Rhinolophus ferrumequinum: one gene and its partners. The protein of the gene in region 1 binds, or shares a complex with, the protein of each later gene. Links are inferred from orthologs where the notes say so. Each region holds a gene or a part of one and is shown in the gene's direction. Other genes may lie near its edges.

Region 1 (7,620 bases):
GAAGACGTGGAGGCTCCCATAGTAGTCGTCGGCAAAGGGCTCTTGGCCCTGGTCCTTGAAGGTGGCCACCATTCCCTCACTGCTCTGGATGTCCACATCGTAGGCGTAGAAGTAGTCCCCCTTGCGGGTGCCACAGAAATACAAGCCTGAGTCCTCGGGCTGGGCCCGGAAAACCAATAGGCTGAACATGCGAATGCTGAAGCGGACCAGCATGTCACTGCCCACCCGGACCTGGGCCGCCTCGGTCAGAACGCGCCCATCAAAATCCGTCAGCACTTTGGTGTGGCTGCTACCGAGATGCTTTTGATAGTACCAGACTACCGCAGACACCTCCTCGGGCTTGCAGTGGCAGGGCAGCTCGAAGCTCATGTCGGCCAGGTAGGCTGCATTGTCGAACATCAGGAAAGCGGGGCAAGGGGTCCTCTGAAAAATATTCTCCTTCTCCACGATTTCAAAGGCCTGGAGACTCCCCCACGCCCACAGCAGCACAGTGGTGTGGGCCAGATTCATGCGTGCACGAGGGAAGGCTCAGAGTGGGTAGGGCAAAACCAAGGCACTCAAGGCGTATGGGGGCTTCTAGAAATGACTGCCAGAGGAGGCATCTATATTAAGAAAAGATTAAGCCGCCAAGAAAAGCAACCATCTGCAGGGGAAGTGGCCAAAGGCAAGGCAACCGATTCCCAGCTGATGTACGAGATGCCCTTCTAATGTGACAGATGTGATCTCAAGGGAAAACCATTCTAGAACCTGGCCTTCTCTCTCCTTTCTAGAACCCTGACACTCACCCAAGAATGGGTCAGGAGAAACTGGAATGAGAAGCAGGGCGCAGGGGCTAGATGGAAATCTCTGCCTCCCTGCTCCAGGACCTGCCCCGCCTGCCTGGTGGGTAGGTTTTCCCTTTGGGTAATCCCAGAGTTGAAGGAAACCCACCCACCTGCCCATCTGGCCATCTGAAGAAGCCTGGGAGGCTGGCCAGACTTAAATTGATGGCGTGGGGCTTTTCCAGGCTCAATCTGCCCAGGAACTCAGCCCCTGGGATAAAATACCGCGCCTCAGATGAGATAGCATTTGACCGTGACCGTTTGTCAATTAAATGTCCATTCATTGGTTTTAGGTTATAAACAGTCTCGTTAAGAGCTATGGAGGCCAGTGTTTCTTCATCATGGAAGATTAATGATTTTGCTTTTTCGTTTCTTGGGTGGAGGCTGTTAACTGGTGTGGCCAGCATTTGGTTGGGCACGTGCCCATCTCTCAGGGCTATGGGCCACGGCCTTGGCAAACACTAAGGGCAGGAAGCAAAGCTCTTTTAATTTCCTGGGCCCTTGACCATCCTGTGGACCCACACAATTTAGAGTATCGAGCCACCGAGGGGCTGCAGAAGAGGGAAAGATTGAATTCGGGCTTTTACTCTGAAAATTCCAGGTTGAAAGGGAATTAGGTGTGGACTTCTTACTACAGTCCTGCAGAACCCCAAGACAACAATCAAAAAATGCCTCCAGCGACCACTGGGGACCTCTGAAGGTAACTGGTCCTATCAATCCACCTGGTACAGCCCTAGCAGCTCTTGCAGGAGCCTCTCCTCCTCCTGGAGCCCACCAGGCTGCTCCAGACCCCGCTCCTCCGGGCTGAGCCCCTCCTTCACGGGCCTGGGGGCGCCCATGGCTTGCAGCTTTTGAAACAAGCTTCTGCAGCTCTGTCTCTCCACCTGGCTCATCAGGCTCAGGTTCAAGGTGAAGCGCCCGGTACCGGCCAGGCTGTGCAGGATCCCTAGCACCAATGACCGGTCAGCCAGCCTCACGTGATCAGCCAGCACCACCAGCATCTCCCCTAGAAGTCCAAATCCCACATCTGTCTGGAAGAGGTGTCCCAGCTTGGGACCCCCGAGCTGTAGCAGTGCCTGGTAGCGCTCTGGCCCACTCCGCAAGTATCGCCGCCAATCACGGTAGAACTCTGCTGAGGTCTCAGGCTGCAACAGTGTTTTCTCCTAGTTCACAAAAGAAGGAAAGGGAATTCAGAGCTCTTCCAGCTGTTCTGCGACAGTAAGAGTGAGGGAAGCCTGTGGGTTTTCACCTTAGCTCTGGTACTGCTCTCTGAGCACTGGGAAGGCTGTGGTGGCTGGGGGACTCATTCTCAGATGAGGGAAACTAGCGGTGGAACAGGGAGAGAGGGTCCCAAAGAACCCAGGCCATGATTTGAGATTCTTAGTTGTACCAGGATTTTCTTACTGATGAATGTGAGAATAAGTCAGGGTTTACTCTGAGCAGGGCCGAAGGGATGACTGAAAACCTCAAGGTGAGTGTTAAGGGTCTGACAGGCTGGGTCGCCCTCCCAACACTGCCACAGGACCATTATACTATATACCATATAACCTGGAGCACCCCAAATCTGATCTGTGCATGCAAGTCAAAGGACTGCCTGGAGGGGACCTGCGTGGCCTGGCCACCTTCCTGACTTGTTCTGCCCAATGTAGCTCAACCCCACCATCTGCTGGGTGCTTTCCTTTCTGGGATTGGAGGCAGAAACCTGCCTCTGTTGGTTTAACATGAGAAATAAGGAAAAGGTACGTGTTGTAAGAGGATAGGACTGGAGGTTTAGGGCAGAGAATTCTGCTGGGCCTCACCGACCTGACAGATCTCAGTGGTTTCATCCAGGGAGGTCCTTCCCTGAGTAGTGTGACAGTTCCAAGGCACGGTCCTCTTTCCTCCTATCTTATCCTTCCGTTCCAGTGGCTTCAGATGTGATGCAAGGACAATACCCCTGTGGACAAAGGACAGAGATTAGGGGATGGACCTAATGGTGTCTGTGGGTGTGAGGTGGCTGGACTTTGCATGATATTGGCTGAATCTGTTGGCAGGCCAGTATGACAATAACAACAACAGCAACAATAGCTGACAGCTTTTAAGCACTTCCCATGTGCCAAACATCGTGCTCAAAAATCTTACATATAATAACTCATTTAATCATAATAATGGTTACTCTCTTTTACAGATAAGGCATAAAGGCACAGAGAGGTTAAATAACTTGCACAAGACCACACAGGTAGCAGAGGGTAGAGCCAGGGCTGAGCTCAGAATTGTCTGACACCAAAGTACGTGCCCTTATCCACTAAAGTCCACCATAATAGGAGCGTCTGAAAAATGGCATTAAGCCAACCTGAATTCTTCATAGGAAGCCACCCTCTGTTCCACTGCCCGTAACTTGGCAGCATTCTCCCGTTTGTACTTCTCATCAGCAGTGAGTGCAGCCTGCAGCTCTTTCTCCAAAGCCTTGAAGTCGATGATGTCATTCCTTTCCATGGCCTGTGCCTGGGAAGGCAAAGGGAATGGACATCAATGGAGGATCAATAATAGGGGGAAGAGTGTGCATCTGGATTCTTTGCCAGGCCACAAAATAACCAAAAACCACTCTGGATATCTTGTCACTTATGTTGGGGGGGGTGTTACAAAAATCTGATTCTCTAGTGAGCGGAGCTGACGTACACAGTGAGAACTTACTTAAGACTTGTTGTCACTCAAAATAGAGTAGAGTCCTGAATTTCAATTTGGAGCCCAATGTTAATTTTGTCCTCTGCCTCTAAAAATATTTTATTATTGGTGCTTCAGCTGAGGAAGCATTTGGATCTCAAAATTCAGTCCCTTCACTCTTCCACATGGTCTCACTCTATAGCAATTATGAAAGAAGACCTCGCACAAAAGCAGAACTATTGTTAGCTACTCTTGAGCCCAGGGATACAATTTCATCCATAATTAAATGTCTTTAATGGGGAAGGATATTTTTCACCCAAGCCAGATGCAAGGACTGAGCAGGAAAACAAGTAGAAGTGGCAGGCGAAGGGGCTGAATGATCCCTGTCCCCAAATCTTTCCATCCAGTCCAGGGCTGGATCACAGGACCCTAGATATTTGGGCGACCTCTTTAGTTCTATCACTGTACTTCTGCAGTCTCCGCGTATCTGAGGCTGATTGACCCGTTTTATAGGGAGATCACCTAAATGGGTTCTAGTCTTGGCTCTGGCGTTTACTTGCTGTGAGACCCCTTTGAACCTCAGACTCCTGGTGCATTGAGCTAGATTTTGTGGTGGAGTCATCAACAGCCTTAGGACAAAGAACCGAGAGGTCTTCAACCAACCCCACAGTCCTCCCCTTCCACCTCAACGTGGGTAAGCTGAACACCAAGAAGTGGGCTGGGCTGGCCAGGAACTGAACTCAAGTGTCCGGCTCCTGTCCAGTTCTGAGCCCTACCCAGTCATTGAATAAATAGAACAACTAAGCCTACCGCCCCTCTGACCTTCACCCCAGCAGCCCTGGCTTTGGTTCCCTTGCTTTCTTTGGGGATCCCCAGATACGCCGGGAACAAGGTAGCTTAGCCTACCACCCGCAGCAGCTGTGGTTGCCCAGCAACTGCTCCAACAGTCTGCCCACGTGATCGACCTGAAGGCCCCCGTTCAGGATGGTCCCGAGGCGCCTGATCAGATTCAAGCCTCCTCAAGCCTCATTCAATTTGGAAAAGCTCACGCCTTGGTTTGAGGATCCACGAGTCCACCTTGCCAGTTCCTGCGTCCGCGGTCGGCATTCCTCCGAGCTGGTCCTCAGGCAGAGGGCTGCCCTCCGCGGCAGAAACGCGACCGCGGCGGCTTCGGGGTCCTTCCGGACAGCGGGCGCAGGCGGCGGCCGTGTGAGGCGGAAGCGCGGGGCAGCGGCCTACCGGGAGCTGCTGGCTGAGCAGGCGGGAGGTGAGCTGGCGTGGGTCAGCGGCGTGGGGAGGTGGCTCCGGGTGGGATGGGAAATTACATAATGTCAGATCTGGAGGATCTGCCCCTTTCACTTTACAGATCGGTAAATTGAGGCGTGGAGCGGGAAAGGGAATGAAACACACCTTCTCCCCAACACACACACACTCAGATCCCGAGGTTCCCTCAGTGTAGTCCATCCGTAAAATCCCTTACGTGGGCAGGGGTCGTTCTCACTGTTCAGCCCCCCTCTTTCACTCCCTCTTCCATCCGTGCCTTCTTCACTCCTTTGCCCAGCTCCCTCCGTCCTTATTCTGTATTCCTTTGAGAGCCTGCATTATAGCGGGAAGCCGCAGTGAAGTTTGGTACCGCAAGTCACTAGTTTTGTGCACCTGTGGGCAAGTCAGCCCTCTTCTCTGTGCCTGGCTGGAGTCATTCATTCACTCAACAAATATTGAGGTCCTGTTTGTGCCAGATACCGTTCTAAGTGAAGGAGGGGAAAAAATAAAACAGTCCTCACTTAAATTGTAGTTGGAGAGATGACGTTAAACACATGACTAGGTATATCTCAGGTAGTGATAAATGTTAATAATAACAAAAGAGTAAAGGTGGGAGTTGGAGAGTATGTGTATGGGGGACTCTTTTAGAGTGGCAAGGGAAGGTTTCTCAGAGAAGGTGTCATTTTAGTAGAGACCTGAGTGACATGAAGGAACAAGGTATAAATATCCAAAGCAAGAGCCTTTAAGAAGAGAATAGCAAGTACAATGGCCCTGAAGCAGAAGGAGCTTGGTTTGTCCCCGGAACAGCCTTCTATAAAAATTTCTTCAGTCACTTCATGAGTTTTAGGAGAATGAAATGAGCACAGATGGGACAGCTCTTTGGAAGTAAAAAGAATATGCACGTGAAAGTTTCCATAATAATTTACATTTAATTACCATGTTTTCCCGAAAATAAGACCTAGCCGGACCATTAGCTCTAGTACATCTTTTGGAGCAAAAATTAATATAAGACCTTATGTTACGTATAAGATCTTATATATAAGACTTTATATAATATAAGGTCTTATGTTAGATAAGACCTGGTCTTATTTTACTATAAGCAAATAAGAATATATAGTAAAATAAGACTGGGTCTTATATTAATTTTGGCTCCAGAAAACGCATTAGAGCTGATGGTCCGGCTAGGTCTTATTTTCTGGGAAACACGGTACTAGTCCTTGGAGCTCTTAATTCTCTATTTTATCTACAACCAGCACTCAACAGGTGGCATTGAGGGAGGTGGAGGAATTAACTTAGTGTAAGAAATAACAGTATCTCAAAATTAAACATTGCATTCACTTAACATTTATCCCGTTCCTACTTCCGCAAGGTACGTTGGCCAGTGGGCACACGGAACACAGGATTCCTGTGTTTAAGAATGGCCAAAACATAATGCTAACTAACATTTATTGAGCCTGTGACTCGGATAAATTCTTGACAGAGACTATTTTGTTTAATTCTCACAACCTTTCATGCAACGGGAGTTAGTCACTCCATTTTCCAGTTGAGGAAACAGGTTTAAAGAGGTGAAGTAACTTACCTGAAGATACATAGTTATTAAATGACGAAGTTAGGATTCATATCCAGCTTTTCCCATTCCAGAGCCCAGGCCCTTCACTCGTGCTCAGGTCTGTTGTTTATTACTTGTAAGCTGTAGAGTTGTTGCTGAGGGTAATTGGTACAGGTAACTACCACTCCAAACAATTCAATGCTGATAAAGGTACAGAAGGCTGTAGCGGCATAGGGGAGTGAGAGATTGGGGATCTAGGAAAGCTTGAAGGAGGTGGCATTGGAACTGTGCTTTGAATAGAATTTCAGCAATTGAAGTGGAGAAAACCCACAAAATACTTACTCATTGCAAAGAGAAAACTTCCCAATAGAGTAACTTCCCAATAGAAAAACCTGGCAGACACCGATGTAATCAAATGATTAAATTACCATCACCACTAATGGGACAAATTAAAATCATGTACCATGTGATACTAGGAGATGCACTAAAAAGAACACAGCATCACTTCTGTGATATTTCTGCCAGAAATGCATGACTTGAATCTAATCATGAGGAAGCATCAGACAAACTCAAGGAACATTCTACAAACTCACTAGCCTGTAATCTTCAAAAGGGTCGAGTCATAAAAGTCAAGGAAAGACTGAGGAGCTGTCCCAGAGTGAAAGAAGCTAAAGACGTGACAACTAAATGCAAGCATGCAATCCTGGGTGGGATCCTTTGCTGTGCAGGACATTATTGGAACAGTTTGTGAAGCTTGACTGGGGGTCTGTGGATTAGGTGGTGGTTATGTGTCAATATTAATTTTCTGATTTTGATGGTTGCATTGTGATTATGTAAGAAAGTGTCCTTGTTGGTAGGAATCACACACAATGAAGCAGCGGTTGGCAAACCTTTTCTAAAGTAAATATTTTAGGCTTTCTGGGCCATATGGGCTCAGTTGCAGCTACTCAACTCTGCTGTTACAGTGTGAAAGCCTCCGTAGACAATATAAATGAATGAGCGTGACGGTGTTCCAAACTGACGGTGTTTCAGTTATTGTAGATACTGAAATTTGAATTTCATACAATGGATTGATTTTCACGTATCATGAAAAAAATTTTTCATTTTCCAACTATTTAAAAATGTAAAAGGCATTCTTAGCTTGGGGGCTTATAAAATCAGGCAGCAGGCCAGATTTAGCCACAGGCTATAATTTGCCAACTCCTGCACTAAAGTAGTGGGGTAATGAGGCATTGTGTCAGCCACTTATTCTCAAATAACTTAGGAAAAATAAAGTTATTTTTACTATTTTTGCAACTTTCTGGTATTAAATTATTTTAAAATTAAAAAGTATTATTTAAAAAA
Region 2 (7,051 bases), on another chromosome or scaffold:
GCAACCTTGCGGTTGAGAGGACGTGCTCCAACCAACTGAGCCATCTGGGAGCTCAGTGGCAGCTCAGCTCAAGGTGCTGTGTTCCATCTTAGTTGCAGGGGGTGCTGCCCACCATCCCTTGCGGGACTCGAGGGATTGAACTGGCAACCTTGTGGTTGAGAGCCCACTGGCCCATGTGGGAATCGAACCGGCAGCCTTCGGAGTTAGGAGCAGGGAGCTCTAACTGCCTGAGCCACCGGGCCGGCCCTGAATATACTTTTTTGTACAAATCTACCTTTTGGTACCATGCTATTGTTTTACATATTTGAAAAAATAAACAAAATCTCCATGATGGGAGAAAAAAATCCTACAATGTAATACAAACAGAAAAAAATGAACCAAAGCATATTTCAAATGAATAACAAACACACTCAAGGGTGAGAAAAAATAAAACCAACTAACTCAAATAACTTTTGAAAATAGTACTTAGAGAACATGCCCTCAGGGTAAAAACAAAAAGAATTCTAAGCAAATATTGAACTCTAGTTGGTAGGCATTATTTTCCAGGAGCATGAAGGAACAATTCTGAAGTTACTTTTTAGAATTCTAGAATTGAACAAATTAGTAAGTATATTGGGGAAATGGAATCCAAGTTCTTCATGGTTGGAGAATGAAGCCAAGTTCTCCATGGTTGGAGTTACAAATATGGAGAGGGGAAAGGATAGAATGAATCCTGTAGCATTAGCTTGGAGATATCAGTGTAAACTCATGAATGTATATACATCTCATCCATTTCCCAGCTCTATCCTCCAAGAGGTAATGATGCCAGAGGAACTATAAGTACACCTAGTACTCAGATCCTGGTTTCTAAATACGTTTCCCACTAGACACTTTGAAAAACAACAACAACAAACTATGAAAGGTGGACTAGAAATTTCACAGCACAGAAACATGGTTGACCCCTTCTTAACCAAATGATCAAAGTCAGCACTGGCAGTAATGGAACTATTGGACAGTATGTACTTCTTCATATTACACACTAAGAACACAGCATCACTTTTGTAGTCTTCCTGCCAAAAGTGCATAACCTGAATCTAAACATGATGAAACTGAAATTGAGGAACACTCTACAAAATAAATAGCTTGTACTCTTCAAAATGGCAATGTTGTGAATTACAAAAAAAAAATGTCAGGAATTGTTTCAGATTAAAGGAGTCTAAAAAAGACATGGCAACTGAATACAAAGCTTGCATGATTTTGAATTTTGCCATAAGGGTATTATCATAACATTGACAATACCTCAGTAAGGTCTGTAGATAATAGTATTGTTTCAATGTTACGTTCTTGATTTTGAAAACAGTACTGTGGCTATATAAGGGAATTCATTGTTGTCCCCATAGGAAAAGGAGAGTAACACCTACACCAAAGGGTTGTCAAGAGCAGTAAATGCACTGATTCACGTACCAAATTTAGCACAAAATATTCAGTAGAGAAGAATATCATTGGGAATTTGGTTACACTGGAGGTTTCACTGGAGGTGGTGGGTTTCAAGGAACCACCACTCTATATTCTCAACCAGAAATACCAGCTCTGGCTGGTAACAGAAACAGAAAGGAAACAGAAAGACAAAGGCTTTGCTATTATGGACCTCAACAAGGAATATATCTGCCAAGGAGGACGCCTCCTGGTTAACTGAGCACAAATTCATAACTAGAGTCTAGCTGCCATTGCCAACAGAAGCCTCTCATGCTCATTGCATTTCAGGGGATGGGGTGGGGTGGTGGGGAGGGGGAGAAGCCACAAACTGAACTTTCAGCCTTGTGTACTGTGCTCCTGTGCTCCTGCCAGCCCACTCTTATAAAAGAGTTCCTGGTATGCCTCTCAAGCCATGGGCTGAGAACTGCACTGCATTTTGCATCTTTGTTGACCAATCAGAGTAGCTCCATAACAGCCAATCATCACATGCAATTCTGACCAATCAGGAGAGTACTACTTGCACCAATCAGACTGTGCACATTTAGATTCCTCATTTGCATAGAAATGGACCAATCAGGGACAAGGGCAGAGACTTTTCTCCATAAAATGCAGCCTCGCCTTTGTCTCTGGAATGCACTGGTTTCTGCTGGAGGCTTTATTTCTGTGGTTGCAAACTGTTCTCTTGAATAGTTTCTCTTCTTCCCATACTCTCAACTTAGGACTTTAGTGAACATTAGGTTGGTGACAGTGAGCTGCTGTTGACACCACATTGCCATAAGTTATTCCAGAGATGTCTAGCTGGACAGTCAGCTCTAATGTGTCTTTTGGAGCAAAAATTAATAAAAGACCTGGCATTATATTATACCCGGTCTTGTAGTAAAATAAGACCAGGTCTTATATTAATTTTTGCTCCAAAAGACGCATTAGAGCTGATTGTCTAGCTGGGTCTTATTTCTGGGGAAACAGCAGCTCATGGAATCTATCCCAAGGTGTCCAAGTTCAAGGAGGCAGGCTTAGAACAACTCGTGGGTACTGTAAGCTGAAGTTATAGCTCCTGCACAAAATAGTGGGGCTCCCAGTTACAGCACCTGATGAAAGTTTACCCTTACATGGGCAGATTAACAAGGAAACTTAGTAATAGCGAATACAATGCCTCAAATTCAAACGAACAACAACTCAATGGCTATCAGGTGCTGGTTCTTTTTGAGGGTGTAAGACACACCACCCCACCCCCAGCCCCGCCCCATAACCAGGACCACTGAGTGGTAGTCCAAGCTGTTTGGGCAAGTGAGTGGTGTCAGGTTGAAACTTTGGCCCAGCTGAGAATCCCAGCATTTTTCAGCTCTGCTCTGACACTGGCTGGCTCTCAGGCTCAAAAAAATGAACTTACAGAAAATTAACAGGAGACAGTCTGTAAAAGGGTGAAAATTTTAAGACTGTAGCGTTTTTACCCTGCCAAGTATAGGTATCACATCCAAGGTTCTGTAGGAGAAGACTGCATTGTTGCCTGGCTGCCTTACCCAGAGGTAACAGAAAATTATTCCGTGGGGCAGACGACCCTGTTGAGCACCGTCTGCAACTGTGGAAGCTGAAAACACAAAAGACCTCATGCTGGACGGGCTTTTGCCTCGGGCCCTGGGCCTGAAGCTGGGCTCTGGGCTCGCGGGGGTGCCCGCTGGCTGGTGTCTGAGGGGGCTTCTCCCAGGTGCACAAGACCGAGTGCGGCGCGGGTGCGGATTCGCCCGAGAAGCCCGAAGTCACACGGAAGCAGCAGTGTCCCTGGACTCGGGGCCATCGCCTCCCAACATGGGGAGACAAAATGGCGACCATGCTCCGAGCCGAAACTACATACGGGTTCCGGGCCACGCTACAACCACAACTCCCAAAATGCTCTGGGTCGAAGGCGGGAGGCAGAGGTCGCTCGATGTGGCGCTAGGCCCTGTGCCCCTCCCCCCTAGCGGAAACCCTCAGGAATACGTTGCCTGCTCTGGTCCCCTCCCCAGTCTTTTCTCGCACTGGCCGACGGGACTTGTAGTTCTTCGGCAAGGGAATTGAACTTCCCTCAGGCCTTAAGAAACTACACTTCCCGGTGGGGTTTCGGCGCCTGCGCACAAGACCGCGATGCGTACTACGATTCCCGGCGGGCTCTGCGACGCGCGCGGCTGCGTGCTGACGCGCTTAGTTAGTTGTGCTGACGTGCAGCGCGGCCCAGGCGAGGTGCGAGTGGCGCAGTCGGTGCCCGCTGCGGCCCTTGAGGAAGCGAGGAGGCGTCAGTGTCGGCTGAGGCGGCGGCTCCAGGCCTCGAGAGACTCGGGAGCTTGAGTAGCGGCAGCGACAGCATCTCTTTCTCTCGGAGGCGGCGGCAGCGGCGGCGGGCGGCGGCGGCGGCGGCGGCGGCGGGTGAGAGAGGGAGCGCGCGAGCCGGGTGGGGGAGGGGCAGTGGCACCGGCGCGAGGCCAAAACGCGCGGAGAACGGCCTAGGCCGCCGCGCGCACGCGCTCTCGCCGCCCCTAGCTCGCGCGGACGCTCTCGCTTGCCTGCCTGCCTCCCCTCCCCCCTCTCGCGGTTCCTGTCGCGCGCGGGCTTTTACTCTCACCCCTCCCCCATGGCAACGGTGCGCGCCGCCGACTGCACTCGGTCTCGCGCGCGTTCTGGGCGAGGAGGGGGGAGCGCGCGACTCGGCTTCTAGCCTCCCCCACGCATGCAGCCGCGGGGGCTTTTCTGCAGCTGCCCCTTCCGGCTTTTTCTTGGCGGGGAGGGGCCGGCAGCGACGGGGGCTTGTTCTCGGATCCTTTCCCTTGCGCCACTCCGGCGTCCGGCTTCCCCATCCCTCCTGGGGGCCTGTGGTCGGGCTGGGAGCCTCCCAGACTACGGGGCGCCGCGCAGCCCCCTCCCCCATCCCTGAAAGCCGAAAATAGGCCTTGGCGGCCCAGTCTGTGTGGAGAAGGCCTTGAACTAGATGCCCCTGATATTTAGATCGTTCGGATTCGTTAACTGCCGTGAAGTATTAGGGAGAGAAAAGCCCCAAACCTTTAATAAAAAAATTTAGCCTAGAGCAGACCAGATGCTTTTCTCCCCCCCCCCCCACTTTTTTATTATCTCCCCAAAAGTGTTAAAGCTAGGAAGGAGGCTGTTGGAGCCCTTCCTTTGAAAGACAACACTGGACTCTGTTTCAGGCATTATTTGGCACACAGCTCTCCTGAGCCTTGGTTTCAGTTCACGCTTATCTAAGATGTCTTCTGGATCAAAAATTCGAAGAGTCTGTATTGTTGTTTTCCGTCTTAAGTGTGTGTGCTTAGGCCTTTTCTTGAACTAAGATTTTAAGTTTTTGGGTTGCATAGTGTCCGCTCAGCTATACAATGCAGCAGTGCTGAGAATGCCGTGCTTACCTATGTCCGTTTTCCTGCGCTCCCCACCACCACTATCCCTTTTGGTGCCTTTTGCTTCTTGGATATCTTAATACTGAATTTCAAGATTTCACTTCCTCCGCCTTGTTAGCTTGGCATCGTGATAATTTTCCAGTAGAAAAAATTGTATTTTGTCTTCTTTTGTAGCTTTTATTTTCTATCTTTAGTTTGAGTAACTTTTGCATACCCGTAGTCTGTGGACCCCAGTTTAAGACTCCCTGTTTTATAAAGTTAACTGGTTTTTGGTGGGGGGGGGTGTGTGTGTGTGTTTACCCCTGGTTTGTCCTTTTAGTGTTTCCAGCACTGCCTTGGATGCTGTGGTTTGTGGGGTTTTTTGTTTTCCTTTTTTTGTTTTCCCTTCCGTTTTTTTGGCTCATTCCCTTAAAGTTCTCCAATTCATTGTGACTTAATACCCTTTGCTTAGCTGTTGGTTTAACCTCCCTAGGGAGTGGGAGGATTATTGTGTGAGCCTGTATGGAAGTGTGGGTGAATGGTTAAGTCGAAGAATTAATTGCAGGTCAGAAGCATTCTGCAAGGGAAGCAGAAATTAGGTGGGGTATAGAGAGGCAAAGAGGACAGTTTTAAGAGTAGGGAGGATTGGTATTTGAAAAAATGAAAGTGAGGTTTGGAAGGTACAGAAACTGATTTCATGTTACAAAGAAGTTTTTCATTGTGCATTTTCACTTGGCCTTTTCTAGATGTAGCCTCATCTGTCGCTCTCTTTACCCTAGTATGGTTTTTTTTTCTTTTTTTTCCCCTCTCTCGAGTCTGCTATTGGGATTGGGCAGGGACCCAGCCTTAGAGTTGGGAGGTTGGGCTAGCTCCCTTCCATCAACATCTTGCTGTCCTTTTTTTTTCTTTCTTTTTTTGCACTTTAGAACATTTTCCCAGACGTTTGCATGTTTCTTTTTTCTTTGGTTTAAAAAATGTAGCATTCCTCTTACCCAATTCAGTATGTTTTCCCTCTACTTTTAACTAATTTATTCACTTTGTTCCTGGGTTTTTTTCCTGGGGTGGTTTTCCTTGTACATTTATGCTCTGAAATTATGTTGGCCAGGATGAGTTGGAGAAAGAAATAGAGTGTATGTAGCATGAGAAAGGAGTATGAGTACGTGTAGCCAAGAAATCTAACCAGAAAAACGGGCTTGAGGGCTCTTCAGAGTCATGTTGGGGTTGGGACAGGTTGAGGGGATAGAGGATAGAACCTACTGGGAGGCATGAAGATAACAATATGAAAGGGATAAAGCAGGGCTGGGAGAGAAAAATTAGGAAATGAGATACAGGGGACTGATGGGGAAAGCTGACACCTTGACATCAGTGAAAGTGAGGTATAAAGAGTAGGAGTTTTCATAATAAGTTTAAGGCAAAGAATCGTAGAGAAGGTATGGGAACCATATGAACAGAGGAGGCTGGTTTGATATATTTAGAGCATTATGTTGAAAACAGGTAATATTTAACAGGTGCTAGGGAGATTTGGGTGAGCTGCCAGTCTTTTGGGAAATCCCATTGGAAGGAAATTGAAGAAATAAGGCGTTAGGGTAGTTGATAGGAGGTATAAATATTTGGAATCGAGGAAATGGTCCTTCACCTGGGAAGTAAAGGACAAGAATTATATATCCAGGGTTCATGAGTTTCTGGTGTGCATGTTGGCCTTTAGTCTGGGTGTGAGGCTGCACAGGATACTTCTGGTTTATCTCTAGAACTGGTCTACCTGTTAGATATGTAAGGGCTGTTTGGTCCATTTTGTGTTCATAACAGGGAAGTCTGAAATCCTGGGATTAGTTCTTGGAAGAGTCTTTGGACTTGCACTGCAGGCCCTTGGGAGCCACAGGTCTGGTGCTCGTTGTGCCTGGTTTGGAAGCCTCAGTTACCAGAGGTTAGGAATTAGAGTAGTTAGTGGAGACAACACTTGTGCATATTTGGGCCAAAGGAGAATAAAGGGACAGTGGAGAAATTTGAGAGAAATAGGATCCCTGTTTGCTTAGCGTGGAAAAAAGGAGAAAATCTACGTGCAAGTAGGAATGGTTCTTGGACATCGAGAGAAAAGGCTGTAAGAGCTTAGCTATGATGACTTGGTGGAAAGAAAGCAGTGTGGGAAGGATGGAAGAAGGTTTCGTTAGGAATCCAGGAGAATTGTGCAGCTAAAGGAGATTCAGTGTGGAGACACATGTTGACATAGGGATGAAGAT
Region 3 (7,951 bases), on another chromosome or scaffold:
ATTATTTGTAGAATACATTCTTTTCTATCCCTATCAAGAAAGACAATTAGAAATAGTTGATGTCCACATAAAATAAACAAACAATAATATTCACTGATACTTTAGCCCCAGGGCTCTGTTAACTTTGTCTTTCACATAATATGGTCCGAAGAGACCTGAATCATCTAGAAATCATATGGAGCATCATATTGATCCATTTTATCAATGACATCATGCTGATTAAACGGGTTGAACAAGAGGTGGCTAGCAGGCTGGAGGCTTGTGGTCCACAGCATGGGACATTAACACTATAAAGAATCAGGAACCTGTCCCTTCATGAAAGGTTTTAAGGGACCAGTGTTCAGGGCAGTGCTAGAACATTCCCTTCAAAATAAAAGACAAATTGCTGCATCCCCTACAAGACAGGAGAAAGCAGAGTTCCCAGGAGGCTGCTTTGGATTCTGTAAGCAACATACTCCACGCTGAGGAATATTTTTCTGGCCCATGTGCTACGTGACATAAAAAGCTCCCAGCTTTACAAACTGGCAAAAGAAAGGGCTCTGCAGCAGATTTGAGTAGTGGTATAGAATATGGCAGATTCTATGTCAGACTTGTGAGTTTTAGAAAAGATGCAGTCTGGAGTTAATGGAAATCTTAGTAGAAAAATCCCAGGTCGGATCCCTGGGGTTCTGGAGCTAGGTTGCACATCTTTTAAAAATTAGCTCTTGGCATGCTAATGGTAAAGAGACAATGCTTGACCAGGGGATACCAAGTGACACAAAATGAAATGTATCTCGTTGAACACATCCTGTTATAAATTCTGAGGGGCCCTGTTGCAATTCATCACAAGATAAAAGAATTCCATTTGGGATGAAGCAAAAAGAAGACCAGAGGGCACAAACAATCTGCATGATTGTTGCATCAGTACCCCTCAGCTCACACTGATGGCCATATGGAGTAGGAGTAGTGTCTTCAACAATTAGTTAAAAGAAGAAAAAATGGCTGAACTTAGTTTACAGATGAGTTGGCTAAGTATGTGGATGAAAGTTGAAATTGGACAGCAGCTCCATGACTGACAGCCTCACTCAGGAACAACCTTGAAAACAGAGGAGAGGGACAGTCTTTCTAATGGGCAGAGTGTCAGGGGTGCACCTGGTCATCCCCTTTGTGTGGAAGGAAAAGTGACCCAATGTTGGGACATAAACAGATTAAGAGGCAATGGCAAGTAGCCTGGCTGGCTGGTCAGAGGGCTGAAAAGGAAGAGATTTAAAAGACTGCAGACACTGAGGTCTTACAGGATTAGAGGTATGTGGATACACAACATATTAGTGTGAAAAGTGAGCAAAAAGTACGAAGATTTTATTATCACATATCAATGTCTCAGGAAGTACACATCATGGAAGAAACACTACACAACCAAGTAAACAAAATTACTCAGCTGGATGATGTTAGCCTGTCTTTGTTAGTGGCCATCCCAGTGCTGGCACAATGGACACTTGAATGAAATGACCATGGAGGCAGAAATGGAATCTAAGCATAGGCCCATCAGCATGCAGCCTACTTACCACAGCTGACCTGTCTACTGCTTCATCTGAAACCTCAACCTGCCAGCAAAGGAGACCAATATTGAGCTCCTACTATGTCATCATTCCTTTAGGAGATTATGTAGCCCCTTGGTGGAAAGTTGACTACACTGGGATCTTTCCATCCTGAACAGGACAGCAGTTCCACCTCATGGAAATAGATTACTTATTTTGGGTATATATTTGCATTTCCTACCAAACAATCTTCATCCAGCACCACTATCTGAGGACTTACAAAATGCGGGGTCCACATATGTGGAATATAATACAATGTAGCATCCAAGCAGAGAACCACTTCACAGCAAAGGTGCTGCAGGAGGGTACCAGTGATGATGGGTTCCACTGGTTGTATCACATGCTGCATATCCCAGAAGCTGCTGGCCTAATAGAGCACTGGAATGGCCTCCTAGGGGTGCAGTTCAAGCACCGGCTAGGAAATAATACTCAGCAAGAATGAGGTGCTGTTCCCCAGGATGCAATAGACCTTGGTATGGCAGCTCAGGGTCCCTAACAAGAACAGTGCACAGGTCCAGGAAACAAAGGATTAAAACAGGAATAGCCCAATTCACCATCCTTCCCAATGACCCATTAGGGGATGTAGTGTTTCCCGTTCTTGCAACGCTGATCTTTGTGGAATTAGCGGTCCTAGTCCCCAAAGGTGGCATAGTATTGCTAGGGGATTCAGCAAGAGTCCCACTGAATTGAACATCATCTGTTGCCTAGACACTTTGCACTTCTTGAGTTCAGTGACAAGTAGGCAAGAAGAAGGCTTAATGCTTGGCAGGAGAAGCTAACGCTAATCAGCAGGAGAAGGTAGCCTTGATGTTATACAATGGGGAAAAGTAAGCATATGTGTGGTATTCAGGTGATTCACTTGGGTACCTCTTAATAATTAAGGGGATTCACTTGGGCACCATCATGACTGTAAATGGGCAAGTACAGCAACACCTGCCTGAGAAGGAGTTTATTACCAGGGGCTCCAATTTCTCAGGAATTAGGGTTTTCACACCACTGTTTAATCACTGAGACCCACAGAGGTGGTACATGAGAGTGAGGGAAATTTAGAAGGAATAGTGGAAGAAAAAAATAGTGAGTTCAGCTGTAGCTCCGGACCGACTGCAAAGATGGGGGCTGTAGTTTGTCCCCTAACTTCTTTTCTCGGTTTCCCTTCAGGAAGAGGCCCATTGAAACCCTGGAGGAACTGTTCCCTGAATGTGTATAGAGAGTGGATCTACCTGGTGGACTGTGACAGACACAGAAGTGTGCTGCTCAGACACCTCTTCAAGAAAACATGCCTAGTTGTGAAGAGTGTCATTAGGTGACAGCCTTCTACTGTTATCATTTTCAAGTCCACCTCAGCTTTTGATTTGAAGCCTCTCTTCCTGAAGTGGCTCCAGCCAATGACTGAGCAAGATTGTGTTACAAGGGCCTATCACTTTATTGCAGTGTGGATAAATGATACCCCTGTCCCATCTAGTTTCCTCCCTTTTCCTTTCACTTTTTTACATTCTTAACTCTATCTCACTGTTTGCTTCCTGGAAGACCCAAATGATAAACCTAAGTCTTTTCTAGCTCTATTAAGCTCCCCTAGGCTCAACTCTAACTTTCCTATTTCTTTTTATAACAGTAGAGGTGGTATTGTGCTTTTTTCAGATGTGCATTGTCATGCAGGGTGTCATGCGGGGGTCTCAGCTCCCGCTTCCCACCTAAGAACGCAGGACATGCTGAGGCCAAAGAGGAACACCCACAGAGCCACAGATAGGGGAGTCATACCACTATATTCTCGCTAGCGGCTGGGTTGGAGACACAGGAAGCAGGAGCTACACTATCCGCAACCTGCTGTCCATTTCTCTCTGCCAACCAACCTCACTTGCTAGCTAACTACACTCTGCGCTTGCTAGCCACCTTCTTCTTGCTAGCCCCCATTTGCTGCTAGCATAGCCACAGCAGTTATATTAGTGGCCAATGGCTCACTGGTTACAGCTGACAGCCAACTAGCCACAGCTGATGGCTATCCAATCACAGTTGATGGCCATTTACTTCCTGAACCAGCACCTTTCCACGTGAGGCCGAGAGCCTGGAAACTGCACTCCTGGCTCTGTCCCCACAGCATACAAACGTTTACCAGGTTCATCTTCTGTGTACTGTATTGGTACAACTAAAATCAATTCACTTAAATATTTTAAGACACCAAAATGCACTTTTACCGATAGCCAAATCTCTTAAATATTAAAAAAATAGATAATACTATTATATAGGAGGAATTATCTCAACCACAACAACTGTATCAACTAATTCAATTCTTAAAACTACTCTGTGGGGCGGGTACTACTATTATTCCTAACAATCAGGAATCACACACAACAGTGTGACATAACCTACTCCAAGGTCAATCATCCATAAGTATATCAATAGATTCGTGACGTAAACATAAGTAGTCTGGCTCCAGTGTCCTCCGTAGCATTATACTCTTCTGCCTCTAGGAAAGGATTGGTAACACCAGCACACTAAAACTGTAATAGAGAAGTGTTTGGAGAAACCAGGCCTGGTTTAGACAAGGTTCTGGAACATAAAGATACAGTCGTTTTAGGGAATGCTAGATCTCAAAACAGTAACAAGTAAGTGACACTTTAGGTTTTGTTACTATTGAAAAGTAAAGCTTAAAACACATTGATGTTTTACCTCTTATCTCTCCACAGATAGCTATTTCCAAGTCCGCCAAAAAATGTCCTTCTCATCATGATGTCTGGCCAGCTGGTACCTTACCCTAAAATAGAAGCATCATCTTCTACAGAATTAGCTTCTCCTCATTACTTCACGCCATTTATGGTCCAATATCCTCCCACTTACTTGGGCTTGACATCTTGGAATTTAGTAGGCACTTAACAGTTGGAAATATTTTTGTTTATAATGGGTTCTTGATCTAATTACCGTAAAAAGTCTGAAAAGGGTGTCTGCTGTTCTTAAGATTTTCACGGAAAATTACTACTACGGTCTACTTTTTACAACTGCAAATAAATAGTTTTGAAGTATATTTTGCTTCTTCCTAATCACCATCAGGCTCCTGACTAGCCGCCTGAAAGCACTTTCCGTCGCTTATCTGAAGAACTACAATTCCCGGCGTCCATTGCGGCCTTCTCAAAACTAAGACAGTAATTGCTTACGTCATTTCCACCCTCACAGGCGGTGGATGCTGGACTTTGTAGTTTGTATCAACTTCTCTTTTTTGTCGCCGCCTTGGGAAAGGGAAAACGTGGCCGGACACACTGCTCTGAATCTGGTATTATGATGTGTTTTTTTAAAAAATAAGTAGGATAACGTATCAAAGCCAATGTAGCATCAGGTTTGTATGCATTTCACGTCCCGCCTTCCCCCTACTGCCGGGGCCGGGAAGGGGAAGTGACGTGTATCCGGTGTAATGGCGGCGCGGTGGAGCTCCAGGTAACTATCGAACTCCGTAGACTCGCTGCAGCCTGCGAACCGTAGTGTGGGTGGTGGGTTGCCGGACAGGGTGGGTGGTGAAAGGTGCCCAGGAGTGGGTGCGGGACTGCCGGTGCGGCCATCGGTGCCGCCGGGGTGCGCGTGGCTCTCTTCCGGCCGCGCGCCGGCTGGCGAGGTTGAGGTGTCAGAGCTGGTCGGGCGGAGGAGTCTGAACGGGTGGGAAACTCCCTGTCCGCCTGCGCGGACGGACCTCGCTTCCTCCGAGGTTCCTGGTACTGTCTCTCCACACTGCATTTGTTCCTGAAATCCAGCACCAACGCTGGCTCTCTCCTGTTGTGTGCAGTGCGTTTCGGCCGCGGATTCCTTCGAGCCTCTCTAGTCGTTTCGGCTTCCACAAGGCCCCTTTCTCAGTGCCCGGCCCCAGACTATGGGAGTAGGATTAATGAACTGTATAGTTCGTTGAAAAATAGAGTAAATTTCATTGTGCCTTTTTCCGGCGTAATTTCCCCGTGACTGCTCCTTAAAATTTCATTAGTCGTTTCTTTTTCATACATTTGCCGCGTAAACAGTGATTCTTCCTAGTGTTTAGTCCTGCGGACTCTGTTCCTCAGTGTGCGGAGTTCTTCCTCTGTCATACTTGACCATCTCATAAGTTGATCTACCTCCAAAAATGTGATAATTGCCAAACTTGGGTCTCCATTCTCCTCCTCTTACCGAGCTCAGAATCCTACAGTACACTTGCATATATAATGGTAATCTAATGGTTAATTTCACTGAGTCTTTTAACTGCAATATCGCTTTACCTATTTTCACTTAATCCTCACAGGTCTTTGAGCTAAATGGAGAAGGAAAAAAACTAGGGAAAGGCTATTTCAGATGCAAGAATTAGGTGATTGAAAGTGCGGTAAGAGTGCCCTTTGCATTTTTAGGCGTCCACAGACTAAAAATAGGTAAACAAGCAATCTTAGGCTTCAGAAGACCAGGTAACCTGCCTTAACTGTATTTAGACTTGTCTTGTTTTAGGATTGCCTGTGAACTGAGGAGTTAACCTCAATTACCATCCTACTTTGGAGACACAGATTTACAATTGGCATTAACTGTGATTTTGATGTAAAGAGGAGTTGTTAACCTGCAGCATCTGTAGGAGGAGGAGACCTACTTGTGTTGATACTGGGTGATGGACTAGTGAACCCATGATTTCAGTCTTGCTTCAGCACGTGTTAGGTCTGTCACTTGGGGCAGGTTACCTAACATCCGTAGTCTGAAAAATGTGTGTAACAGTAATACCTTGTTTTGAGGATGAAGAAAAATAACGTGTATAAGGCACTCTGCACAGTGCCTGGCGTATAGGTTTAGCTATTATATTACAGTTACTACTATGGTAGAGTTGATGAAGTCACTCTGTGCCTCAGTTCTTGTTCTTTGGTTATGAAGGTTGCCCTTCCACTTTTAAGTGTCCATGCCACTTTCACGGAGCCTTATCTGGCTGAGGCTCTGAGACTTCAGAAGCCAAGAATCTTGATCTAATAACCTGGCCCAGTGATTCTGAATATCTCCTGAATCAGCAGCATCAGTAGCTCTGTGGAACTTGTTCAAGCAATGAAAATTATTGGGCTTCATCCTAGTCCTGTTGAATCAAACTGGGGAGTAGGGAGTCCATCAGTCTCTTTTTAATCAAACCATGCATGTGATTCTCATGCCTGTTAGTTTGAAAGCCACTGTTCCAGCCCATCTCCTAGGGATCTGATATGGTCCAGCCCCCGCCCCACCCCCAGAATCAGGTTTGCTGCCTTCCTTGCTTCAAAGTATTTGAGCTACAACCCTATTACTTGTGCCCCCACGTCCTTCCCTACTTTGGATAGTTTAGCTCCAATCACTTCCGGAATTCTGACACTTCCTAGACTACTTAACCGTCTTTCCTAAACCACCCTTCTTAGCTTTGTCAGTTTTCGCAGCTGCTGGATTGTTAGAGGTTAACTCTCCTTCCTGACGATTGAACATTGCCAAGTGGTCTACAGTGGCTGTTGTAGCTGAGACCACCTAAGATAGTACATGGTAACACATTGTTACTTAAAATGCCCATGCCTTAATTTGAACATGATTTTCTGTTTGTTGCCCACTTGTATTTAGACTGCATTTTGTATTCTGTGGTGTATCCCTAACTTGTTAGAAGTCGTGGCTAGCCTAGAGTTAGTTTAGGGAAAAAGTGGTTATTGGTAATATAGCTGATCCCACTGATGACTTTGAGGGCTTCCTTATTGCATTTCTCTCCTTTTCTGTTCAAGTCTGAGAATCCTAGTATGGGAAGGTGATGGAACAAAAAGACCTCTGGCGTATTAGTTTCAGCAAACGTCCAGACTTACTAAATCTATAACCCTAAATGTTTTATTTTAGTATATGCATTTCTCAGGTGGACATTGAAGAGACATTTCAATGCCGACAACAAACTTTCAAAGCATTTTCTTCAAAAATAACACATCAGAAGAGGAAGCAATGGATTAAAGCAAGCCTTTGCTGTTTGTAGCCAAGCTAGTAAGACTTTCCCAGTTAACAGATACCAAAAACATGGTGTGAGCTGCCTTGGCCTGGGGACATATGGGCCTCTGTGATTATAGAATGGGTTAGCTAATGGGAACGGGAGACCTGGTGAAGATTCACGTTTAACTTGACTTTGAGCCTGACTCCTAAATGAATCAGGCTAGACAGAATTCAGCACTTCCCTCTGAAAAGTTACCTTAGGAGTCAGTCCTTCCCTGAATTAGTTTGTCAGGGCCGCTTTTTCTCAGGAGAGCTGGCAACAGGAGCCTCTGTGGTGGAATGCAGTGCTATGTGTCTAGGGACTACTCGATAAATCTTGGTGGAGGCCAGCACCTCCAAGTTTTCCTTAGAACTTAGAACGTGGTTCACTAAATGGCTCTTTAAATAAAAATTAGAAAGCCCACTTTCAG
Region 4 (6,877 bases), about 10 Mb from region 1:
GCAAATGCCAGTTTCCAAGGGCATTCTCTAAGCCAGCAAGCAGAGAGAGCTTTCCAGGAGGAGGTGTATGGGTGGGCCCAGGGCGTGGCCGAGCAGATATCCCAGACTCCACTGGCCCTTGTCTCCTTGGTTTCCTGCCACCAAGGGGAAGAGAGACATGGCCTTAAGTTCCCTTTGGCCTAAGGACTCTTCCTGCCTGGACCAGAAGAGGTTTAGGGTTTCCTCTCCTCCTTTCATTCAACGTTATTTATTGAGTGCCTACTACAATTCCTAGAACTGGGGATACAGCAGGGACAAAAATAAAGTCCCCGCTCTCTCAGAGCACACAGTTTAGTGGCAGGGGGAGGCCTGGTGGCTCCAGACAGTGGACTAACTTGCTCTCTATCCTCCAGGCTTCCTCCTGGACACAACTAACAACAACTTCAGCTACGTTTTCTACATGTCAAGTTTCTTCCTCATCTCAGCTGCTCTCTTCATGGGTGGCAGCTTCTGTGCCCTGCAAAAGAAGGAGAAGCAGGGCAGGCAGGCAGAGGCGGAAGCAGCCACCGTGGAGGCTGCCCCACAGCGGGCCCTCACCGTGGAGGGCACAGATGGATCTGAGAAGCAGCCATCCACTGAAATCATGTATGTGACCAGCGTCTGAGCCCCGAGGTCAATGAGTGACCACTGCCTCAGCCCAGGAATGGGATCTCCAGCTGCTTCTCCAGCAGCTGGGGTGATGAAGTCCTGCTCAGAAAGCCTGAACCAAAGACCATCTCGGCTCTGCACTTTGGGACTCAGCCAGGAGCTGGGACCTTGGAGGCTGGCCTCCGAAGACTCTGGGTCCCTTCCAGTGAGCAGAATCCAGGAGCAGGTCCTCCTGACTTTTCCTTGGGCACCAGAGTACTTGGGGCCCACAAAAGTGGGTCTGAGCCCTGCTGGCGTCCATCATGGCCGGCTCTGCTCAGCTGGCTGCCCACTGCTGCTGCTACAACTAACACACTGGACCCTCAAGTCCAGTCTATATGCCTCTGATGTGATCTCTTTGCCTTCTCCGAACTCCAGACAGTTCCAAAGAGCTTGCCTGTCCTCCGAAGCCCTCCTGCCGCCCTTCTTCCCAGTGACCCAGCCCTTGCCCTTAGGGTGTCCCCAGGACAAGTTGCTGGGTCTCATGTTGACTGGAACCTTGAAAAGAAAGGCCTTGTGGCCTGTCGTGGTGGAAGGCCAGGCTGAGGAGTTGGCCTGGATCCAGGGTTGAGAAAAATTAAATGTCTGGTGGAGTACTTGTCCTGTCATTTGTGCAGAGAACTGGAGGGGAGCCCCTGACTTGGGTCCTAGAATCAGTGAAGTCAAGGGGCCCCCTGCACACCAGCAGATCCTGCTCCAGGGTCTCCCTCCCTCCTTTGTCCTCCCCCCCCCCCCCCGCCCCTGGTATCTTGGCTGGGAAGATTAATGCTGGGCATGGGGAAAGCCAGACATTTGACTGACCAGGTGAGAAGGATTGCTAGGCAGGGCCCAAGGACCTCTGAAAATGGAGCTGCTTTTGCAACAGAAGCCCTTCTATTCCCCTCCTGCCACCCTGTTCTCCCTGCTGGGTTAGAGGTATCAACCCTAGGGTGGAGTAAGTAGCTGTCTGGGCCAGCTGCCAGTCCACCCCTGCTCCCTGTTGGCCTGTGCCTGTGGCCTGGAGGCCAGAGCTCCACACACACACACACTCTGCTGGTGCCCTTCCCCGAGGTCACCCCCTGGGGGCTAGCTGTCATCAGCCCAGTTTGTTCTAGCAGGGTACCAACCCAGGGAATGGAAAAACAGTTTGAATTATACACAAAAATGTTTCCTGCAGCAGGTTGCAAACCCTGAGAACTAATGAAGCAGGAAAACAGGCCTGGAGTAAGTCCCCCTCCCCCACTTAAGTTCTCCCAGCTTGGCAAAGGCTGCTCACGCCCTGAGCCTTGTTGATTCAGGCTTAACCAGGCTCCAACAAGAAAAACCTTATCAGGGGGATTGGTTTTGTTTTCATGACCCAACTCTAGCCTTCCTCCACGGGTCCAGCTGGCGTGAGTAAGCATCCTTGGGGACGTCCTGTCTTCTCCAGGACGCTGCCATGAGTGCCCCCTTATGGCCACAGAAGATAGTGCAGAGGTGAAGCAAAGGGCTCTAGGCTGGGAGAGACCTGTGTTCACATTTGATTCCGCCACAATTTGCTATGTGACTTGGGGCAAATTGTTCATCATCTCTGGGCTTTGAAAAAGGGGGAGGTTGACGTGGATAAGCTAGTCTCTTCTAGTCCTGTGCTTGGCCACCATCCACAGCTTGTGCACTGAAGGGGGAAAGCTTCATTTTACCAAGTCCTACCTCCTCCATCTTAGTGGAGGGGACACGGAGGTAGTTGGGGCTGGTGAGTAGGTAAATGCTTTTGCTGCTAGTAGCTACCAGGCTTTGAAATGTACATCCCCTAGAGGCCCACTTCCTTAAAACAGATTTCTTTTAAGGAAAAAATATATCAGTGAACATTCAGCATAAGGAATTTTGACCTTATCTGCTGCTGGGCAAGAGTAGCAATATTCTCTAGGCAAACTTCCTTCAACAGATATTTATGAAGCATCTACTGTGTGCCAGGGACTGGGCAGAGAGGAATAAGAACCGGTCGCTGCCCTGAGCACAAAATCAAGGACTGAGAATTCTCCCTCAAGGAGAAGGGCCCCTAGGAACAAATGAGCGAGATGGGTGGCCCATCTGATTCCAGAACACACAGCTGATTTTCTGGGAATCCTCTAGAGAGGATCTGGAGCAGTTCCTGCGCAGCATAGGGTGGAAAGCATTTGCATCCTGTCCTCAAGCCTTTGTCCATCCAGAGGCAGAGAAGCCCCCTGGCTGAGATGTACTTCCCCAGATCGCATCAGCTCCCCAAAGAAGCAGAAGGGCCAGGTGAGGCCATCAGTGGCCACCGCCCTCACGAAGCAGCCATGGTACCCAAGCACCAGACTGTGGTGATAACTCCTGCCCCAGGGGGTGTGTACAGGGCAGGGGCTGGCCACAGGGATCGGAGCGCACGAAGGTGGGGCCTGCTCCCAATAAGGCTACGGCAAGCTGGAATATGGTGGCTGCTCTGTCCTCATGCTAGGCTCAGGCCCAAAGGAACATGGTCCTTGCCTTCAGGAAGCTCACAGCCCAAGCCCCCTTCACCCGTTCATTTCAAGCACGATGGGAGTACGGCAGGGCCACTTCCCTCCCTGGTCCTTTATCCCCTGCGCCTACGCGGTCTCGGTCACACACCACCTTCCTGAGGAGCCCCAAGAAAGAACTGGGCCAAACAGCTTCAGCATTCAGGGCTCTACGACCCAGAAAGCCGCCAAGACGGTATATTCAGGTGAACGGAAGCTCCTACTGCCTGCCGGTGCTGCCCCAGCGCTCTCCACTCGCCTGGCTGACAAAGAGCTTTACTCAGTTCCCGATATGTCTGGCCAGAGACAGAGATAGCGGACTCAGCTCAGGGTTGGGGAACAGGGGGTGCCAGGTTCGCCCGGCCTTTTGGAAAAGCCGACCAGAAGGTATCCTCAAAGGACCCCTATGGGGGGCACAGGAGCCGACGCCCACTCCGGAGGGGCGTCCCTTCGAGGAGGAGGTTGGCCTGCGCCGCCTCGTCAGATGCAAGGGGGTCTGGAGATGCTTCTGCATAGTTAGCCCCCACAGAGGCGCCCGTGAGCTGCTAAGGGTCCTGGGGGGGCTGCTCAATACACGCGCAGCACCCCACCAGCCGGCGCCGCACCCCACCAGCCGGCGCAGCACCCCACCAGCCGGCGCCTCAGGGCAGAAGCGCAGTGCGCACGCGCGAGCTCAGCGCCGGCCCCGCCCCTTTCGCCTTCCGGGGAGGAGGTACGCGCCGCTTCCGCCGGAAACCCAGAATCGAACCGAAAATCCAGCCCACTACCGGGGCTGGGTGGTCTTCTTCCTCGCCCGGCGCGCAGTCGTATCCTAGTCTCCCGCGCCCCGATTTAGGTTTTCACGCCCAGCTCTTACAGGATCCTGATAACCCGCCGCATTCCCCACATCTCAATTCCAGCTGCAAATTACCGCAGAACCTGAAGCCAGGAAGGGAACCTATTTCCGGTCCCGGTCCGCCTTTGCCCGCACCGGTGAGGCCCAGTGAGGTTCTCGCCGGGCTTTCCGGCTTCATCTGCCACACTCCTCCCTGCCTGTCCCTCGTGGACACCCCGCCGCCCCGACCATGTCCCAGAAGCCGAAGGTAGAGCCCCACGTCGGACGGCTGGGATACCTGCAGGCGCTGGTCACGGAGTTCCAGGAGACGGAGAGCCAAAGTGAGCGACAGGGTGGGGGCCAGGGGACGGGCCAGGGGTTCGGCGTGACAGCACTCCGGACCTGGCTCCAGTGTCGCTTTTCCGTTGCAGACGCCAAGGAGCAAGTCCTGGCCAACCTCGCCAACTTCGCCTATGACCCCAGCAACTACCAGTATCTGCGACAGCTGCAGGTCCTAGATTTATTCCTCGATTCGCTGTCTGAGGAGAATGAGACCCTGGTGGAGTTTGCTATTGGTAAGGACGGGTCCGGTCCCCCAGATGCCTGATGGGCTGTGGTGAGATCAGTGAGTTAGACGTGAGTAGTTGGGAAAGGAATCTCGTAGTCCCTCAGCTGCGGCGATGGCCGACCTTGGCGACATCGGTGCCACCTTCGCGGTTCACAGATTGTCCGAGTCACGGCTACCTTGAGTCAGGTCTGGAACTTAAGCGCAGGACTCCCTCTTCGTGTCTGCCTTCCCGCCTGCTGGCTGAGTGACGAGATTGTAAGTGGGGGAAAGGATGGAAGCCACTTGGAGGGAAAAAAGTTGAGTGCTCTTTTAAACATCTTTATTTATTTATTTAAAAAAATTTTATTGGGGAACAGTGTGTTTTTCCAGGACCCATCAGCTCCAAGTCAAGTCGTTGTTTTCAATCTAGTTGTGGAGGGCGCAGCTCACTGGCCCAGTGACCTTGGTGTTGTTCTGAGCGCTGCGTTCTAACAAACGGAACCAACCGGCCGGCTGCCCTAAACATCTTTATTTTAATGTTTTAACATCAGGAGGAGTAGACGTGACTTGGAATGGCTTATGGTTCCTGTGTTTGTTTTGGTCTAAGATCTATTGAATCATTAACTGGACATACATTTATTGGGCCTGAACTGTGTGAGCAAGGTGCTGTTCTAAATGCTGGAGAGATGGCGAACAAGTTGAGAAAGGTCTTTACCCTCAAGAATTTACATTCCAGTAGGAGGAGACTGGTGGTGAGCAGACAAACCAAAAAGCTGAGGCTCTTAAGGAAATAAACAGGATGATGAGACAGAGCAATAGGAGGTAGGTGCAACTTCCGTTTTGGCCGTCATCGGAAGGCATTCTAGGCAGAGGTGCATCTTGGGTGAGGACCTTAATGCAGAAGGAGCCAGAAGGAAGGCTGCTAGGGCAGGATTGTGATGAGTGAAGCAGTGAGTGGTGCAAAGTGAGGTTAGAGAGGCGGCACCAGAACTTAGGGTCTTAGATCTAGGCCATGGGAAAGAGTTTGGAATTTATTCTAAGGGCAAACAACAATTATTTTTTCAGCACGCATCTTTCAAAAATAACATGTCTTTATATAGTGAAAGGAATCTTATGTAGGGAAAGAAACCTCCGATGAGAATTCCATTGTCACCTAGTACCCACTTATGCAAATTTCTCTAATAGTTCCCAAAGAGACATTTTTGTTGTTGTTTGTATGAGTCAGGATCCAATTCAGGACCCATGCATTTAATCTGTTGCACCCTTAGATCTCAATCTCTCTCTGTCTCTCTTTTAAATAAACTTTGTATTTTAGAACAGTTTTAGCAAAATTGCAAAGATAATACAGCGAGTTCCCATAAATACCACACCCAGTTTCCCTGGTATTACCATCTTACATTAGTATGGTACATTTGTTACAATCAATAAACCAAAATATTGATGCATTATTAACTAAAGCCCGTACTTTATTCAGATTTCCTTAGTTTTCCCCTGTCTGTTTTCTGTTCTAGGATCCCATCCAGGATGTCACATTACATTCAGTTGTCACATCTCCTTAGGCTCCTCTGGGCTGTGCCAGTTTCTTAGACTTCCCTTTTTTTGACAGTTTGGAGGAATACAGGTCAGGTATTTTGTAGAGTGTCCCTTAGTTGGGATTTGCCTGATTTTTCTTTTCTTTCTCATGATTAGACTGGCTTAGGGTTTTTGGGGAGGGTGACCATGGAGGTAAAGCGCCATTCTCTTCACATCATATCAAAGGGATGTGCTACCGACATGACTAACTACTGTTGATGGTGACCTTGGTCACTCGGCTGAGGTAGTATTGGTTAGGTCTCTCTACTGTAAAGTTACTCTACCCCACGCCCTATCTTTCCATATGGTACTCTTCGGAAATAAGTCACTGCATAAGTTATCTTTTATTCATTAGTAGACCCTTTTTTCATAAGACTAATTGTCGAAGGATCCAGACCAGTTCTGCAGAAGCTCCCGCCTTCCAAATTGTCTAGACAGTTGCCTCTTTATGGTGTCATTTAGATTGTTCCGTTGTCTTCTGTCCCCTTTATTTCCTGTAATTTAGAAATTAGATCAAAAGGCTTGATAGAATCAAGTAACACTTTTTCTTTCCTGAGTACGTCATAGATAAGTGTGATTTCAATTTTTAAAAAGCCATCCAGGTCTGCCCCTAACATTTGTGTTACCTGGTGCTAGAGTTCCAATGGGGGTCGCCCCTCCTTCTCTTCTAACCAGGACAGGTCTCACACATGGTGTGGAAATCCCAGCTCTGTTCACATACCCCCACACACACCTGCCCTGGAACAATTCCTTGGATTTACGAGTGTAGACACCAATAATGGGGTTCACCCCTGGGAGTCA

Evidence for each region.
Region 2: EFTUD2 (region 1) and SRRM2 share a complex: the UniProt entries of both Homo sapiens proteins name them as parts of the minor spliceosome. The link is inferred for Rhinolophus ferrumequinum from reciprocal best matches to the Homo sapiens genes EFTUD2 and SRRM2.
Region 3: EFTUD2 (region 1) and CWC22 share a complex: the UniProt entries of both Homo sapiens proteins name them as parts of the minor spliceosome. The link is inferred for Rhinolophus ferrumequinum from reciprocal best matches to the Homo sapiens genes EFTUD2 and CWC22.
Region 4: EFTUD2 (region 1) and ARMC7 share a complex: the UniProt entries of both Homo sapiens proteins name them as parts of the minor spliceosome. The link is inferred for Rhinolophus ferrumequinum from reciprocal best matches to the Homo sapiens genes EFTUD2 and ARMC7.

What each region holds. Positions count from the first base shown.
Region 1 is NC_046304.1:39,769,660-39,777,279, reverse strand, and holds the start of EFTUD2 (116 kDa U5 small nuclear ribonucleoprotein component), read left to right. Parts: upstream 1-4,610; 5' UTR 4,611-4,731; intron 4,732-7,620. Other genes in the region: Ig-like V-type domain-containing protein FAM187A, read right to left, coding at 1-510; CCDC103 (coiled-coil domain-containing protein 103), read right to left, coding at 1,535-1,984, 2,625-2,757, 3,154-3,296. UniProt on the Homo sapiens protein: Required for pre-mRNA splicing as component of the spliceosome, including pre-catalytic, catalytic and post-catalytic spliceosomal complexes. Component of the U5 snRNP and the U4/U6-U5 tri-snRNP complex, a building block of the spliceosome.
Region 2 is NW_022680357.1:4,399,093-4,406,143, reverse strand, and holds the start of SRRM2 (serine/arginine repetitive matrix protein 2), read left to right. Parts: upstream 1-4,045; 5' UTR 4,046-4,060; coding exon 4,061-4,069; intron 4,070-7,051. UniProt on the Homo sapiens protein: Required for pre-mRNA splicing as component of the spliceosome. As a component of the minor spliceosome, involved in the splicing of U12-type introns in pre-mRNAs.
Region 3 is NC_046291.1:46,208,425-46,216,375, forward strand, and holds the start of CWC22 (pre-mRNA-splicing factor CWC22 homolog), read left to right. Parts: upstream 1-4,948; 5' UTR 4,949-5,003; intron 5,004-7,951. UniProt on the Homo sapiens protein: Required for pre-mRNA splicing as component of the spliceosome. As a component of the minor spliceosome, involved in the splicing of U12-type introns in pre-mRNAs. Promotes exon-junction complex (EJC) assembly.
Region 4 is NC_046304.1:50,175,865-50,182,741, forward strand, and holds the start of ARMC7 (armadillo repeat-containing protein 7), read left to right. Parts: upstream 1-3,865; 5' UTR 3,866-4,207; coding exon 4,208-4,298; intron 4,299-4,388; coding exon 4,389-4,532; intron 4,533-6,015; coding exon of another isoform or gene 6,016-6,107; exon of another isoform or gene 6,108-6,553; intron 6,554-6,877. Other genes in the region: SLC16A5 (monocarboxylate transporter 6), read left to right, coding at 393-643. UniProt on the Homo sapiens protein: As a component of the minor spliceosome, involved in the splicing of U12-type introns in pre-mRNAs.